Linked DNA regions of Xenopus tropicalis. The protein of the gene in region 3 interacts with the protein of the main gene of each other region in a biochemical or structural test. Links are inferred from orthologs where the notes say so. Each region holds a gene or a part of one and is shown on either strand. Other genes may lie near its edges.

What was found.
Region 1: the proteins of pias1 (region 3) and satb1 form a complex in vitro, tested with the Homo sapiens proteins (2 studies listed by BioGRID, with this or other methods). The link is inferred for Xenopus tropicalis from reciprocal best matches to the Homo sapiens genes PIAS1 and SATB1.
Region 2: the proteins of pias1 (region 3) and sumo1 form a complex in vitro, tested with the Homo sapiens proteins (6 studies listed by BioGRID and IntAct, with this or other methods). The link is inferred for Xenopus tropicalis from reciprocal best matches to the Homo sapiens genes PIAS1 and SUMO1.

Annotation. Positions count from the first base shown.
Region 1 is NC_030682.2:45,056,397-45,060,050, forward strand, and holds part of satb1 (DNA-binding protein SATB1), read right to left. Parts: intron 3,551-3,654; coding exon 3,439-3,550; intron 143-3,438; coding exon 1-142. UniProt on the Homo sapiens protein: Crucial silencing factor contributing to the initiation of X inactivation mediated by Xist RNA that occurs during embryogenesis and in lymphoma.
Region 2 is NC_030685.2:52,306,040-52,309,693, forward strand, and holds part of sumo1 (small ubiquitin-related modifier 1 precursor), read right to left. Parts: intron 2,800-3,654; coding exon 2,722-2,799; intron 332-2,721; coding exon 260-331; intron 1-259. UniProt on the Homo sapiens protein: Ubiquitin-like protein that can be covalently attached to proteins as a monomer or a lysine-linked polymer.
Region 3 is NC_030679.2:117,659,518-117,663,641, forward strand, and holds the start of pias1 (E3 SUMO-protein ligase PIAS1), read left to right. Parts: upstream 1-1,181; 5' UTR 1,182-1,260; coding exon 1,261-1,284; intron 1,285-1,307; exon of another isoform or gene 1,308-1,425; intron 1,426-1,900; exon of another isoform or gene 1,901-2,041; intron 2,042-4,124. UniProt on the Homo sapiens protein: Functions as an E3-type small ubiquitin-like modifier (SUMO) ligase, stabilizing the interaction between UBE2I and the substrate, and as a SUMO-tethering factor. Catalyzes sumoylation of various proteins, such as CEBPB, MRE11, MTA1, PTK2 and PML.

The DNA.
Region 1 (3,654 bases), on a different chromosome or scaffold from region 3:
GTCCTCGCAGGTGGTTGACTACTGTGAGAAATCTGAACCGGGGATGAAGGGTTTTCTGGAGTACCAACAGAACCAGGCTGCTGACCATAGTTTACATGATTGCTACTTTGTTGAGAGCGTTCTGATAATTCTTCAATATCCACTATAGAAGTAGAAAAAAAAAAGTTATGTTTTAATAAATACAAAAATTTTTTTAAAAAAAGAAGATTCCAATGAAATAAATAACTGTTTTTTATAGATATTAGCAATACAAAGTGCTGTGTTAATGTTAATTAATTTTCAATTATCTTAAAAGTACATTGAATAATTCCTGTTTAAAAAAGAAGGGGTACATGGAAAAACACAAAACTGATCCCAAAGCTACTGGGTAATTATTATCCAGCCAGACTACTGCAATGCTGCTTTAGACATGATAAACAAATTATGCAGGATTTTATTAGACACAAAATTTGACTTAATTTTGGCATCTGGCACATTAAGAGAAATAATTTTCTTAAATGGCTGTAGGGTCATTGCATTAATACAGCACTGACCTTGTATTTGAAAAGTTCAGATAACTGATGAGCCAGTTTGAAAATAGATTTGGCATCAAGTGGTATATCTGATTAATTCTGCTGTGGGATATTTGCAAGGACAAAGTTCAACCTATATTGAAAATAAAATACTTCAAACTAAAACTAACCATAAGTGGGGGAAAGAAGGAAGTTTAGATAGATAAAAAAGTGAATTCTGTTTCTATACCAAGATACAAAAATACAAAATTATTAGTAAAGGCATATGAGTTTCATGTATTAGTTTAAATATTATAAGAAACTATTTGCCAATTGTGCTTTATTACCAAGGACAATATATTATGCCTCATCATACATATAATAAAGTTGAAAAAAAAAGTTGAAACAGTATATTTCTACAGGCCTATGGGATAAGGATAATTTTATACAAGACTATTTGAGTTCTTTCAAGCTGAAATTAGTGGATCTATTCTATAAAAGAATCATGACTAATTGTCAGGCCAGGTACCCTTTACATATAAACACCTCATTTTTCAACTATATCTGCAAGCTCCTTTGTCTGAATTTTAATCTAAACCAAAGATGAGTTTTATTAACATTTTCACTCATATAAAAGTTTTTAAAAAAATAGTTAAATTAAAGTTTTTTTGGTAATGTAACAAGATAAAGAGCCTGAGCCTTAATATGGTTTGAAAAAAAGTTTACATTATTGCCCTTACATTATTGAACCTAATTACTATGAGCAGATTTTTTTACAAAAACATCCATATTTTGACAAGGTCTGCATACTTTAGTATTTGTTTTTTTTATAAAGACATTTTAGGAAAAAACAAATCTCCACCTTCCCCCCAGACCCACTATTTTTTTTACTGTTCTAATACATCTGTTAAAGAGAAGAAGACTGAACATAACACAGCACTTCCAACCCTGGACCTCCTTTTTTGGACAGTGAAACTAAAATTTTCATTGCCGGAGCAGGGTTCTAAAAAGTCACCCCATCACCACAGCATGAAAGCGCTTCCACACTGGGGTAACAGTTGCTTATTTTGCTTAACATCTATTCTGTAAATAATAAATTCTCAAGGGGGGGGGGGGCTCCTGGTCTATTTGAAAAATGAAAACTGGAAAATCCAAAATGTCTGAAAAAATAGCGAAAAGAAAAATTTACTGAATGGTAGCAAATGTTTAAATATGCTGATTCACAAATAATTTTTTTATCTCGCTTTCATATTTCTTTAATGTTATAACCCTCAGCCTTTTCAGTTTTTTTTCCTGCTGCAAACTCATTAATGCTGTGAGACTCGGAGAGCACATTTAAGTTGTTGGCAGCAGGAGGTAACACTATAATATTTTAAAAACTTTACTAAAACATTTTTGTAAAACAGATTCAATGTTGTTGGGTGCAATTTTTACCTTTAACAGGCTAACCCACATGTGCAATAAATGCCACTTATGTGAAGTAACCCATACCAACTGTTGATAGTTGTTTTAAACAGGTATTGGTTAATGCTCCTGGGCAAACTTAGTGGGGGGTCATTTCCAAACACTGGGCAAATTTGCACCTGGGCAGTAACTCATAGCAACCAACAGTGGTTAGATTTTTCCAGGCAGCTGTACGTTGAACACTAAAAGCAATCATCTGATTCATTGCCATGAGTTTCTGACAAGGTGCAAATTTGCCCACTGTTTATAAATGACCTCCACTGTTTCTTATATTACATAACTCAATTCATGTTAAAATAGTAGCTTTTTGGTTCTAGATTACCACTGTCAGCTAAGACACTCTGTTACACTGTTCAATTTGTATCAAAATATCAACTTATATCAAAATATAGTAGAGGCATAGAAATACATACAATACCGAAATACAAATATTTTCCCACCCAAATGTTTTTGTTTTTTTTTGCACAGTGAAAGAAAATGTAATCCTAAGCAACTCTCCACTATACAGTAAAGGTAAGTGAAAGGTCCCCTACATCTGTTTGCCACAGAATACTTCCCCCTTTCACTTTAAGAAAAAGTGAAGTAGATTGAGAGCAGGCGTCAACAACCCCTGAAACAATCCCTGACTTTGGTTACACTGTTTAAGATTCAGGCCCAGAGAACAGGGAAAAAAAAACCCCACTGATTTCAACTGCAATTACATTTACCTTTTAAACCATTAAAATATTTAATACATTTTAAGAGTGCTTAGTAAAACATTTTCTTTCATTATAAATGCAATGCAACATGGAAAAGGATGAGCAAAATACCAGTATTATCCAGAATACTTGGAATATGGAGTTTTACAGATAAGGGGTCTTTCTTTAATTTAGATCCTCATTCTATAAAATTATTTAAATAACCCCAATAGCATTGTTTTGCCTCCAATAAGGATTAATTGTATCTTAGTTGGAATCAAGTATGAGGTACTGTTTTATTATTACAGGGAAAATGGAAATCATTTTTAAAAATGTGATTTATTTAAAACGGAGTCTATGGGAGATAACCTTCCCATAATTTGTAGCTTTTTGAGAACAGGTTTCTGCAGAATGGATCCCATACCTGTATTGCTATATACATACTAGATCGCAAAGAATGAAAAATAATATTGCTCATCATTTTTAAAAATATAGTTGGCAGATTTTCTTCATACATTTACAAGAGTTACCCTAAAATGACATTTTTCATCATATGTCTCTTTCTCTCTCATTTATTCATATAAACAAGGGGCGGGTATGACTTGCTTGTTCTACCTACACTCGACAAAAAATCTTTTGCAAGATTATATGACCTATCAATATCTTCATTAAAGGCAATTTTGTAAAAAGAAAGACAAGAACGGTTTATAATTGGACAACAAAAGCAATCCTAACCGTTCAACTGTGATTGACAATATTGTAAGTAATGGCGAAGCAATCCTTTCAGCAAGTTTTCTATTGCTTACCCATCATCTCTTTTGTCTTCTTGAAATGTTTATACCACCTTCCAAATTCTTGACATTTTGCTGCTGAAACATTTGCATAGTAAGTGCTGTTCACAATGGAAGAAATCATACTCTAAAAGAAAAGGAAAAAAGAAATTATATCAAACAATCTGTAACAATGTAAAGCAAGCGCTGTAACACAATATCACTTATTAGAGGCTGACTTTAGCAAAAAAA
Region 2 (3,654 bases), on a different chromosome or scaffold from region 3:
GTAGTGGAGGGGGGGGGGGGGACAGACCATACCACTGGACAAGAGATGGAGAAGATTAACTATACCAGACCTGAACTGGGCCAAAGCACCAGTCTGGGGAGGGGGTCCACCAGTCTTTCTTGTTTAAATATTATTGGCCCAACTGATTGTTAGCTTGCAAACCTACCCCCTAAAGTCACATCAAGCAACTGACCAAGAAGGTTATCATTACCTGCAATGAAAAGAGGGGGTCATGAAGCCATACAGACTGACAACTTACCTCCTTAGGAGTCTGGTGATCTGAGATTCTTTGCCCTTCAAACAAAAACCTGAGAGAATTCATTGGAACACCCTAAAAAGTGGAGAAAGTGCATAGTCAAGAATTAATGTAAACCTACCAAATTATGCCCAAAACATTCCATAAACTACAAATTATTAGTGTTACAATTCTTGACATGGTTTACTGGGTACAGGAACAGTATTGGTATTTTCGCCTTGTCTTAATATTGTTCAGCTTATCCACATACAGATACATGTAGTTCTTTAAGTGAACCACTGGTGTATCTTAAAATTGTTGCCACTGAAAGGGAGAGATAGCATTTTCTGCAGCAGAACAACCAGTTTTCAACCCTGTGCATTAACATAGTATGTGCTGGCCTTATCTTTAATGTGCGAGACCATAGCTAGACCACATGGTTTTCCCACCGGAAAGAGAACAACATTTCCAACTCAAGAAACAGAAAGCCAGAGCAGTAGATTCTATAATCTACTGCACTAAAAGGGTTGTAAACATGCGCAAATGAGCTCACTGCACAGGGCTCAGTCAAATATATCTAAGGTATGGCCCTTCAACAGTTCTTAGGCTTTCCTGACAGCCAGGGATGCTGGAGCTACTAGTTGAAAAACTGATGAAGTGTCACCTAAATGGACGTCAAGGGACCTTCATGCCCCAAGGAATATCAAACAAGAAATTCTTCAGCTTTAGTAAATTGCAACAGATGCCATGAAGTGGTTGCTGAAAAGAGCACTACAGTAAAATCAGTGCTATTGTTACATAGTAACATAGTAAGTTGGGTTGAAAAAAGACATACGTCCATCAAGTTCAACCATAATGCCTATACCTAACCTGCCTAACTACAAGTTGATCCAGAGGAAGGCAAAAAACCCCATCTGAAAAAGCCCATATATAAGGAGGCACACATTTGGTAGCTGCACACTGCTGGGAATATAATATACAGGTATAAGAGCGGTTATCCAGAATGCTCGGGACCTGGTGTTTTCCGGATAAGGGATCTTTCCGTAATTTGGATCTCCAAAAAGTCAGCTAAAAATCATTTAAATATTGAACAAACCCAATAGGCTTGTTTTGACACTAAGAAGGAGGTCTATGGGAGATGGCCTTTCCGTAATTCAGAATTTTCTGGATAACGGGTTTCTGGATAAGGGATCCCATACCTGTACTTGTGACACAAGCCACTGTAACCACTTTGTTAAAAACACAGTGGTTAAAACTTACTGATATGTTCTGAACAATTTTTAATTGTATTAACATGGACATTACATTTAGTTGGTGTACAACTAAGCTTTTTTTTTTAATCTAAAACTGCAGCTAGTACTTGTTTTTAGGGTATAAGGAAACACAAGGGAAAACCCAAGGCATTCTAGATAATCAGCCCCATGCCTGAATGGAACAACATAGCCATTATTTACACAGTAAATCTGATGGTAAAGTTCTCTTCCAGCAGAAACCAATGCAGTACCCTTTTTAAAAAAAGGGTTTTATTTGAATTTGTTACATAACAATAAAAATGTATTGACTTGTCAGACCTTTAACATTGTTAATAATACAGTATGTAGTGGTAGTACATTTGGTAGTGTGTTCAGTTGCTGTTTGCTTTCCAAGGCTCATCTTTATTATATAGGTCACATTGTTTACGAAACAATGTATTTTAGGAATTCCACAGAACTCAAAATGGTGGCAACAGAGTTATTACAGTACATTAATAGTTAATTGTTGCTGGTTGGGAGGGACACAAAAATATCAAATGGCAATGCAAAAAGGAGAAAGTAAGGGCCTATTATATATAGAGCAGGCTTTTTACTCCAAAGTGAGGGAAAATGAAATGCCCTCCATGCTTGGGACAAAGACATTATTCTTTGATTTACCCCTCTGCTCCTTATTGTGAAATTTTAATTCAAACAATTCATACGTGATTAAAGTACACATTGCAGACTTTAATTTAAAGTTATTTGCATACATTTGTATGTAGAATGTAGAAATTACAACACTTTATACATAGTCCCCTGTACCTGTATCAAGTACATTTATAAATGGTAGATTTTGGTCATGATTTTTATGGTATAGTTTTTATTACTATATTACACTGTTCTCACTGCAAATAATTGATTCTATTTGAAAAAAAAAAAAAAAAGCTAAAATTAAAGTTACAGTATGCATACTATGTTAATGTTTCCTTTATGAAAATGTGTTTTGCAAAGATAAATGCAGCCCTTCATTTGCCAGTTTCATAACTGTATTTTTTCATATATGTGGTATAGACTTACTAATATAAACAGTACACTGCCTACTGTAAATCATCTAAAGTGGTTCACAAACCTTTGATAAATCTGCTACTTCATATGTGTCTTCATACATGTTTAACATTTTAATTCCCTGGCATTAATAGCCGGTTTACTTACAAACCTTATTTAAAAAGACAAATTCAACAAATTTCTACTTACCTGTCTCTGACAGTATGACTCTTTCAGCTTTTTGAGATGCGTTGTCATCTTTACCTTAAAGTGAATTTCACTGCTATCCTGTGAACAAAATATTTACATGGTTTAAATTTTCATTCACTACTGGGAAACATTCTACTGATTTATGGTGCAAACATAGAGAAATATTTCATATTTCCTGTAATTTCCAAGTCACCTTCCATGGCAGCATTCACCAACATGAGTAATCTTGCCTCTCAGGTCACTGGACAGGAAAAGGTTAATTCTATAAGTACATCCCTTTGCCTGTCTCTGCTTGTCTTTGAATCTCAGCGACAGAAGAGAGGAAGGTCAGTGAATGCTGCCATGGAAGGTAACTTGGAAATTGAAATTACAGCGATTTATGAGAACTACCCTAGTAAGAGGGGTGGGACAACACTAATGCTCAACAAAATTTATTTTGAATAAACAACAGATTGCAGGATCTTCCTTCCCAACTTAGTAGCCAATGCTCTAATAGAATGAGCTTTCAGGTTATGTGGTACCTCTCTGCCTGCCAGTTGATAAGAGAGCACAATGCGTAATAAATCCAAGGTATTGCCATCTCCGCTCCTGCTCAGAATTTTGGCAAAAAGAAGGAAATGCTATTTCCAAAACAAGGTGAAACTGTGACACAATCTAATGCAGGAAATTGAAAGCGGGTTTTCAAAACAACTTTATCTGAGAACAGGCTCACTTCACAGAGTGGATTTCCCCAACTCTGCAGGCAGAAGTGATAGCCACAAGAAATAAAATTTAGTGTTGCATGCCAATCCGAAAAATGGAGAAGAGGTCAATCTTCCTAGCCCCTACCTCCAACTGCCTTAAAGGAGAAGGAAAGGCTAAGTCACTTGGGGGTGCCAAAATATTAGGCACCCCCAAGTGACTTAACTCGCCTACCTTTTACCCCTGGCTGGT
Region 3 (4,124 bases):
GGAGGGTAGTGTTGTGCCTACACATGCAAATGACTGTAGTGGATCACACCTTAATGCATGTGCAGTGTAGCGGTACAATAAAAAGTACCTAGGTCCAGTGCATTTTTTAGAGAAGAAGAACACTGGCCATGGGGTCCTAGGTTAGAGTTACTGGTGGGTGACCAGTTTTTTTACCCCCCAGTCAGTTTGGCTTTCTTGTCTTTCAAGGCTTGGGGCACACTGGCATATTGTCTGCTGTTGCAGAAGTGTTTGATCATTTCCATTTGTCTTGTCTATAGCAGAGACAGACAGATTTTGTCTAGAAACAATTTTCTGGTCAAGCTCTGCCTGCAACCAGCAGTTCCATTCAATATCTATGAACTGAGTGACGGGCAGAATGGTCACAATCTAACCAGTGAGGAATAAACCCCTGTGCCATAGGCCAATTGGTGTGTCTGGGCAAGCCGACAAGCCACACAGGCTCCAGCTTGTACAGTGTATATATCTAACAACAATAGCTATTAGTGGGAGGAAGGACTACCAGAGAGGTAATAGAGGCACTTGGACACAATTAATGTGTGTCACCAATTGTGACAATGAGCAATGAGTGGCTTTTTTGGTGCTTCTACTGAGGCAAAATCTAGCAACACACCTTCTCCCAGGAGGCACCTATGTTAAAGAACTGTAAGCAATGATGGACAAAATTTTTTAATACGTCAGCCTTCAAGTTAAAATAAGACAAAAATGTCTCACTTTTGCTTTGGAGGACTCGTATTGTGTAAACTCCCTAAACGCGATGCTTGGGCCTGATACAGGAACACAGGATGGGGTATATTAATCATGTTATGCAAAAAGTGGAGTGATGCATTACCTGTGATGTTGCCCAGGGCAACCAATCAGCTATTAGATTTCAAGTTTCAAGAACACCAAAGCAAAACATCTCAATGGCTGCTATGAGCAACATCACCAGTAATGATTCACTCCACTTTTTACACAGCATGATAAATATAAGTATAGTCTATTCCACCAATCTACCTAGCCTTTGTGTTACCGACAGCACTTAGGCTAGCTATAGGACCGCAACACTTTCCCCGCAAAAAGAGGGGCTAATGTGAGCCGCACCGTATCCCCTCTTCTTCCCCACCCGAATGCAGCACCGCTCTTATACAACTCGCAGCTTATGCAATTGGCGCCTTTTTTCGAATCCTGCGTAGTGACGCAACGAGTCGCGTCCGAGCCACGTCGCGGCGGGTTCATTACGCCTGCGCGCAAAGCAGCAAGATGGCGGACAGTGCGGAACTGAAGGTAAAGCGCAGCTGGAATTGCGGGACCGGGATTGCGGTCTCCGCTATGTATTGGCAATTGGGAGGTCGGGTGTGTTGAAGCGAATGGCCGGGGGAACTCGCAGAAGCGGCTCCCGGAAGCAGAGGGAGTTATGTTGCATGTGTAAGGCAGAGGGGCCCTTGTTATTGTTGGTGCTGCCCGGGTGGAGGGGGCTGGTGAGGGCATGTTGGTTAGGCTGGTAGGAGGGCGAGGGTCCTGATGCACACACGGAGCGAGGGAATGTGAGCGGCGGCAGCCCGGGCAGGGCGCACGGTAGGGGCTGCTGGGAGCTCTCCCAAGGGATGAGTGAGAGGAAGATGCTCCTACTTGGTACTTGGTCTCTTTAATAAGCGATGTTGCGCGTCTCCTGTTGCTGCCCGACCCCCCAATCCATCACTACTGACAAGCGGCTGTCAGGGGATGTGCGATACTTTAATGAAAGGAAGTTTCTGCGCCGTGTGGACTTTATTCCGCTTCATTCGGGGATCTGTCGGCTCCAGGATACTTTATCGCACACAGTCCTGCCCGCTAAGCCCGGCGTAATGACGGGGGGGGGGGGGCTGTCAGGGTTGCCAAGCAACAGTTCTCATTTAATAACATTTCTCGGGGATGGATTCCTATCTTGTGCTGACAAATAAGCAGCGTTTATTCGGGATCTTAAAAACGTTTGGCTTGATGTTCACTTTGCAGAGTCCCGGGTTGAGCTGCTTGTTTCGGCTGATTCATACAGAGATCTGGGGTGCGTGTGAGGTGCTTCTATTTCTTATAAAATTGCTGTTTATTTTACGTTTATTTTACATGTCCCTATCTCCTGTCACCATGCTCAGGGATCCTCTGTGCCTGCTACCCTTCCGCTAACTCCCCTCCCCCACTCGCCTCCCCTCCCCCACCCTTCCTCTGCATGGCCCTGTCTCTCTCCCCAGACATCATGTTGCTCTGCTGATTGATAGGAAGTGATAGTACCTGGTGGGCTTGCATCCCTTGTAGAGCTGATAGAGGGGCTTCACAGAATGCTTTCTCCTCCAAGTTTCCCCTCTATGCATTGGGCACCGCTTGCAGCAAACTTTCTTCCTGCTGTACCATCTTCTCTTAACTGGGAGCCTGTGTGCTGTCTGATAAACACACAGATGTGCTGTACCGTAACTTGCATCTCTCAAAAATCCACTGTATTGGGATTCGGCTGATCCCCCAAATATTTCATGAAAGAATACTAAACCGAATCCTAACTTGCCTATGAAAATGAAGGCACAGAAGGTGTAAAAACAACCGCACGTGGTGAAAAATGTTCAACTTCAGCTTTTATATGGTGAAAAGTCACATAATTTGAAGGATTTGTTTTAGCCAGGCCCACAGATTCGGCTCAATCTTGAAGAAAAAGCCGGAATCTTGGCCGAATCTGGAACCAAATCCTGGATTCTGTGCATCCCTAGTCTGAGGCAAGGAGTTGTCATTTTATTGACTTTGGTATATCAAGGCTATGCATTAGTACTGTTGTACTATAGTAAGTGCTTAAGAATAGCCTGTTGCACCTGTATATATTCAGTGTACTTTGTAATTTTAATTGTGTAATTCATATATTTATACATTGTAATGTATGCATTTTAGATTGTGAGATATTGTAAGATATAACAGGCAGAGCCTTCTTTACCTAATGAATCAGTCAGTAATTGTGTGATTAATGTGTATACCCTCTCCAGACAGGAGTGAGCTGCATTGAAGCACACAGACCCACAGTATAATCCAATTGCTGGCCTGTCAGGCTGCTTTGATACTATGAATCAGTGGGCAAATTTGGCAGGCTATGTTCTGCTCTGTATCTGAAAGCCTGACAGGCTAAAGCTGAGCAAAGAATGGGGTTTGTTTACACAGAAGGCTTTCCAGTGGTGTGCTGACTTGTTTTGATTGTGCATGTAGGTATCAGGAATTAGAACACGCTTTTCATTTTTAAATTTTGCCCTGTGTAGCGTAGGAATATAAGATGATGGTATTTGCTGCCCCTTTTGAATGCATGGCTAGTTTTTATACTTTTCTCTGCAATTTAAGATGGCCATGATGACATTGAGGTGGACAATATCAGGCTGATAGCTTGGCCCTCGGCCCAACAATTGGGTCATAATTGTCACCATGTAGGCAGTCGAATAGAGGACCCAGTCAACCCACAGATGTGGCCTTCAATCCTATGGGGAAATCAAACCTACCTGATTGACATATTGCCTGATTTTTGTCCAGATATCGGTTGAGTAGGCCCTGTCGTGGGGACCCCATACATGGGTGGATAAGCTGCTTATCCTGCTTGTCTGCTAAATTGGTGGGCATTAACTGGCATGATTCTACCATTTGAGGACACGATGTATGCTGCAATGTTTGGTCTGACCAAGCTAATAACTTTCATTAACCTCTATAGCTGTGCATGGAAAGCTCGCATACAAGTAATTATGTGCAAGTACTAAGTAGGGCCTGATTCTGACTGCAGTTCTGCCTCTGAAACAATAACATGACTAATATACTGGTGCTTATAAACAATCTGACATAAGTAGATGAATATATGCAGGAGGACTTAGGTATTGTTGTTCTAAACATTAAGAAATGCCTTGTGCATACTTGAGGAATTAGTTACAATGAGGAAATGAAGCATGGGCATAGTGACTATTCATCAGATGCTCATGGCACTAACATCATATTGTAATTATATGTTGGTAGTCCATTATGTATGCTGATATTTGGATTCTATATTTATGACTGTACTATTTTTGTCCAGCAATTAGCAAATTATAAATAGCTTCCTGTTAGGTGAACTAGTTGACTGCTCATAAGAAATGTTG